Linked DNA regions of Saccharomyces cerevisiae S288C. Changing the gene in region 2 together with the main gene of any one other region gives a genetic interaction. Each region holds a gene or a part of one and is shown on either strand. Other genes may lie near its edges.

The links.
Region 1: mutations in YSC83 (region 2) and IRC4 together harm fitness more than expected from each alone (negative genetic interaction), as found in Saccharomyces cerevisiae (2 studies listed by BioGRID).

The regions. Positions count from the first base shown.
Region 1 is NC_001136.10:1,516,477-1,519,436, forward strand, and holds IRC4 (Irc4p), read right to left. Parts: upstream 1,200-2,960; coding exon 660-1,199; downstream 1-659.
Region 2 is NC_001140.6:136,818-140,666, forward strand, and holds YSC83 (Ysc83p), read left to right. Parts: upstream 1-1,876; coding exon 1,877-3,034; downstream 3,035-3,849. Other genes in the region: YSC84 (Ysc84p), read right to left, coding at 64-1,423, 1,592-1,638; argininosuccinate lyase ARG4, read right to left, coding at 3,194-3,849.

The DNA.
Region 1 (2,960 bases), on a different chromosome or scaffold from region 2:
TAGGCGTTGAGTTTGTATGTTACTTTTCTCAGGTGATGAAGCGTGATGACGATGACAAAAATGGGTTATAATAGGGCGCACTATCATCATGCGTGATTGATATTTAACCAATGTCTTGAGTACATCAACTCCAGAAAATGGGTCATTATATGCCTAGCATGTATTATTTGAGACATAAAGTTTTATCTCGAGACCTTGACGTATAGGAAAGATCTTAATCAAGTGACATTACTTTAAAATTTAAAGTATGTGCCATGTATACCATATACGATAGCAGAATGTGACACAAGCTATACCATACGTCTCTGATCGACATTCATGTATGGTATCGTCTATATCTTTGTTGCTTTAAAGGTTAGCGTATAGTAAGGTAAATTAACTATATGATCAATACTGTGTGTGTAGAGTACAATAAAATATATGGGAAGAACATAAAAAGTTCGTATTGTGACATGTTATTGAGGCTATGGTAAGCGTAAGAGAGTTTTGTCTTTATACTGCTGTACATTATATGAGGTTTTGTTAAATTGACTCATAATAATCGAGATTCATTTCTCAAATATAATAATATCAAAAAATATGATATTAAAAAAGGTTTTCCTGTGGTAGTTTCTAAATCCTGCAAGAAAAAAAATAGACGGCCATATACAACTTTCTCATTATATCTTCCTCCTTTTTATGCGTTGTTCTTCAGGCACTAGTCTCTTCCATTTTCTAATTTTTCCTCTAAAGTTTGTGAAAGGAGCAACCGTGTTGATATGGATCCATTTATACACAGGCCACATAGCTTTAGTTGTAGCCCATTTTCTATTTCCCGCTTGAAAGAGCTCATCATCAGATAAAGTAGATATCCATTTATAGACCTCGTTTACGGCCTCTCTCAGCTTGGCTCTTTGCTCCTTAATGGAGTAGATTCCGTATTTTTTATAAAATGACTGGTATAATCCTCCTAAATTGTTCCATTTATAACCAGGCGCAGGAGTTTCCACATTATACCCAGCAATTTCCTTTGCTTCCCACTCTAATAATAAATTAACCCAGCCCAATTGATAAGAGAGGTTTTCAGAGGGTGTTCTATCCACTGTTTCAACTTTTTCGTCTTTTTGAGATTCAGAGATTGTTTCAAATTCTGCATCATATTTTTCATATTTTTTTTCAATCTCTTCCTTTAGTTCTTTTTTACTGGTATATTCTCTCATGATAGTTTTTTTTTTTTCAATTGTTATTATTTAATTCGTTTAATTACCAATCTATAGCGATGTAAGTCTCACTATTAGCCGCTATTAGATTTTTTTCCATTTGCCAATATTGATTTTTAATCGCATTCATTATTTGATCAAATTTATATTAGTATGTACACACTCAAATAAAAGAAAATAGGGAAAAAAAATTTGCCTGCTTCAATTAGGCTTTTGGTACCTGATATCCGCTCGAGATTAAGTGCGGCCCTCTCCACCCGATAAGGAACAAAGGGCATGCTTCCTTTTTTAGCTTTACGCACTATTGTCAAATTGTTTATATAAACAGGCTGATATAGAATTCATCCTGAAAACAATGGTAAAGTTTTTCTTATTGCACTTCGCTATCCTAAATTCAGGGTTGAGATTTCTTTCTCTTTATGAATTAATGTACGATACGCTTCAGCCTTTCGGCAGTGCATACATATCCTAGCGCGCTGATAGTTGGCCACGTCACTTTCTTGCGCTCCGTAGCATCATTGTTCTTTGACGTAAGAACGCAAACTCTGGCATTATGGAATGCATACCGGTATCTGATAATAAAAATCTTGGATACTTTCCTACAGGCCATCCGGAATCATGTCAGCACAAGAAACAACCATATTCCACTACTGAGGTTCTTATGATAGTACCATATACTTACAGCGTTAGACGATAACAACAAATATAATATTAATTGAGCAAAGTTCTTTACTGTCATTCAAATCGGTGAGTAAGAGTAAAAATTGACAATGAAATAACATCTATGAATGAAATCAAGGGAAGTTTCTGAAGTAAAAATTGACCATTATTCACTACTAGTAGTCGCGTTATTAAGATAATATACTGAATGGAGTTAAAGATGAGATAAATGATGAGAAACAGTCTGCGAGTATAATGGAACATGAAGCGCAAGGGCTGATTTTGTAATAAGATAATGAATGAAAACGTGTAAAACAGATAAAGAAATAAAACAGATTAATGTGTAGAATTATCGATTCCCTTTTATGGATCTCTATGTCCCCGAGGAGCACTTCTAGTGTATTCTGTATAAGTAATAATATTATCTCAAGCAATAATGAATTCCCAATAATTATCTCAAAATCCACTCACTCATAATAATTATATATGACGCATTTAATTTCAGCTCTATGTGCATAACATTAAAATGGAAGATCAAAAATTACACTCTTCACACATAAGTGCAAAATATAGAATCATTTAAGCAATATTGCATCCTGCATATGATTCTGCGTTTTTTTTTTTTTCATTTTGAGCAGAGGAGATTGAGCAAGGATTTACGCTTGCACAAAGTATCCTTGACTTGAAAAGGAAGTTAAAATCGCATGAGAAATGCAATAACTTTATCGGTACGCCATATAACATATGAACATTTTTTAGTAATATTATAGAAGAGGTGATTGAAACGAGATAGTACGCGTAGCAAAACAATGGTAACTAGTGAGATACATTACCAAATTATCCCTGTACTCTTGTGATTTCGCATCAATTTTTCCATATGTTGAATTACAGAATTCCAAAGGCAGGATCTCTGATCTACTGTTTTCTATAATTTCTTTGATTCCATCTGATATTACGCCTAAAAAGTATAAGTCTTTCAACGACTTATACTTCATAATTACATAATACGGTTACACATATAGGTATCTTAAATTGATCACAAGAGTGATCCAAGTAAGTGTGGAGTACCTTTATCACCATTCACTGAATATTAGTATATTT
Region 2 (3,849 bases):
TCAACTTCATAACTCTAAAAAAAAATTCTATATATAGGAACGAGACATATGGAGGACGATAATTTAAGAAACTCTAACGTAGTTTGCAGGGAATATTCCTTCTTTTCCGTTAGTCCTGCCTGTCCACCAATCATTTTGAGAATCTGATTTTTTTAAGATAGTAATAACATCACCTTTTTTGAAAGCCAAGTCGCCTGGTTGTTCTCCAGCAAAATTGTAGAGAGCAACAGCCGTTGGTGTCGCCGAATTTGTAGCAGTGGATTCATTACCTAACCCTGTCTTCGACATTTTATGTGATAAATCATCGACATTGCTCATATTGCTGGGGTGAGTTGGGCCATGACCAAGGCTATAACCCCTTTCTCTACCATAACCACGCCTATTTCCTCGGGTATTATCATAATCCCTACCGGAATGGTTGGGACGGGAGTATTCAGTATCTCTATCATACAAATCATCTTCCCATCGGGTATTCGCACGCGGCTTAGTACCCCTATCTATCTGTGGGCCTCTATTGCGGCTGCTGTTTCTATTTGGAGATCTTCCGTAATCATAATCTTCATCTTCGCTATCAAAATCTCCATACCCGCGACCACGTCCGTAACCATCATCATCATAATCATCATCATAACGACTGCGTGACCCCAGCGACATTCCTCTTCTTCTTGATGATCTTGTGTTTGGACGTGTTGAGGATTCATCAGTAGAATCAAAGGAATCTGGAATATCGTCGTAATAATGGCTTGTGTTGTCGCTGTATTGACCGTCATCATAAAAATCATCACCGCTAGCGTTGTCATCATGGTCGTGGCGTGTAAAGTTGAACGCTCTTGATTCCAAGATACGGAGTAGGGGGTCTGCTGCTGGTGGAACTTTTACTCTACCTGACAAAATCATCTTTGATGTACAGTTATCGCCGTAAAACTTTCGATTAGCTTCCCTTCTCTCCAAGATGGCTGAACCTTCCACAGACACACCGGCAAATAAACCTTTGCTTTTGGAATAGGCAAAAACTGCCGAGACACCACCTGTGGATGCAGAAGCTGCAGCTTCTGCACTTCTTCCAAGAGGACCTGCGGAAACTGACACATTACCACCTAAAGTAATTGTACCAAATTCAGAAAAGGACCTCACTGCCTCTTCCGAATTTAAAATAAAAACAAAATCTGTCAATTCAACGCCGACCATACCACCTGCACCAGCACCTGCCATAGCGATAGCAGAGGGAGCCGACCATGTACCGTCTTTTAACCTGGCCACAATCACCCCAGAACCTGCTCTCCCTGAAAACAAGAAGCCAGCCTTTAAAACCGTGATAATTGCTAGACCTTTAGCTCTTTTTAGCACATATGGTGGAATAACTTGGTCTGCTCCAAATACTTGATTTGGTTTAACAAAACTCCTTAGAACTTTCGCGGCCTTCCTGTAGTTAAAACATTCGAAATAAATCAATCATAAAGTTGTTAGTACATTACTTTTGAAAACTCATGCCCCATAAGCAATGGACACAGACTAGAGAGCTATCTTGAACATTTTAGCTGCATCCATAAGTTTAGAGGAGGGGCAGCAGGAAGCATATATATGAACATACTTGGTCTCGCTTTTCAAGCTTCGAGGAATTGGATTATTGATACCCATTTTTGGATTTTGGATTTGATATTACCACTACTCTTGAAAATTTTACTGTGAAGTGTAAGATAGTTTCATGTTATAGATAATGTTAAGAACAGGGTCTAGTTAGGGGGTAGTCAACTTTAATTCCCTTCAGGTCGTTTTCGGTCAGCGTCGGAACATGTAAAAATGTTGTAGGTGGCATACAAACAGGAAATATAAAACAGACAACAGAAGATATTTGCTCTCAAAAAAACAAATAAAAATGGCTTGGTCTGGTGGTAAGGATATAGTGGATCAGATATTTGATGCTGGGTATTGGCTCGTCTCGAAAAGCGCTGTCTTGAGCGATGAGATCAAGAACCACGTCGAAAAATCAATTGAATCCATATCTGGAAAGATATCCAACAAGGAGACTCCTCGACTACAGGAAAACGACAGTAACAGATCTAAAGTATATAAAACTTTGAGGATCGGGCTCCAGGATCATTGGAAGCTAGGCTTGGGAATTTCTGCCACCTCCCTGTGCTTATACCTTGGGTATAGGACCTTTTTTAAACTGCCACCTAATTTACCTGAAGCAGAATCTCAAGTGGTATTAATACTGGGCGATATGAATGATCCTATCATAAGGAATCAAGTGATGGATTTATATCGCAGACGGTTTACAGTATATATTTGTACTGAAAATGCAGACGTCTATAAGAAGCACGAAGAAGATCAGGATTTCATATATTACATTGATCCCACCTGCGAAAAAGACTTCGAGGGTTTTTTTGTTGATGTACCAAGGCTAGCATCCATATTGTTTATGCCAAGGTTATCATATCATCCATCCGGAGTAATTTCATGTGACTCATTGGAATCTGAAATTCATTCAAGTATATTTGTGTATTATCAAGCATTATTAAGCATTATACCCCATTTGAAGAGAAAAACCCAACTAATTATGTTCAATCCATCTTTGACTGCGGACCTGAACTTAGTCCATCATAGTACAGAAATTATAACGTCTGGAATAATCGACTCACTATTTAAAATTTTCAAGGAATATCAAAGGTTAAATGTTTCCACAATCAAGCTTGGAATCCTGCAGATTGGGTCACAACCATCGAACTATAAATTTTTGAGAATGGCCGGTTCAGACATTCACGAGGCCCTACATTATCCAGTTTACAAAATGATAATGAGTGCGAATGGGTATAAACTAAGACAACTGCTAAGTTGGTTAACGACTTTGGGAGGTTACAATAGTGTGTATTATTGCGGCCGTTTTAGTTATTTAGTCTCATGGCCATTTGCTTCACTTATATTCAACCATCACACACGTCTTTCCCTGAAACGCTTGAGAGGAAGATTAGCCAAGGTATATAGCAGCATTATTTCGTTTTTTTGCCGGTCATCTTCTAAATCATCCAAATAATATCCTTGATTAGATAACAATTGCTTATCTACGTATATATATACATAGCACAATCTCGAAAATATAATACTAATAACAAAATAAGTATTTAAAGAAGGGTTGATGAAGTCCTAGAAGTACCAGACCTGATGAAATTCTTGCGCATAACGTCGCCATCTGCTAATTTAATTGGGATTTCAAATTATCCAATTGCTTCAATACAGCAGATTTAGCGGTTCCACCAGTAGCATCTCGTCTTTCAACGCTTTGTTCAAAGTTAAAAGTTTCAAAAAGATCTTGTCCGAATCTCGAATCGATCTTTTGATACTGCTCCAAGGTTAATTTATCAATACCGCTTAGACCAAGTCTTTCAGCAGTAGCGACACACTCACCAGATATGTGATGAGTCTCTCTGAATGGAACACCCTTTCTGACCAAGTAATCTGCCAAGTCGGTAGCTAGCATATCCATCGTGAGAGCAGCTTCCATCTTTTCCTTATTTACAGTTAAGGTAGAAATAACACCTGTGGCAATCAGCATGGAGTGCTCTACAGTTGTTAAGCAATCGAATAGTGGCTCTTTGTCTTCTTGCATGTCTTTATCATAAGTAGATGGGATACCCTTCAAACTCATCAAGAATCCTGTCAGATCACCAAATACTCTACCGGATTTACCTCTTAACAACTCTAACGAGTCTGCATTCTTCTTCTGAGGCATTAAAGAAGAACCTGTTGAATAGGCGTCGCTCAACTGTATGAAACCAAATTCTGCTGTACAATATATAATCAAATCTTCAGCAAAACGAGAAATATGGTTCATGAACAAAGTTCCCCAAA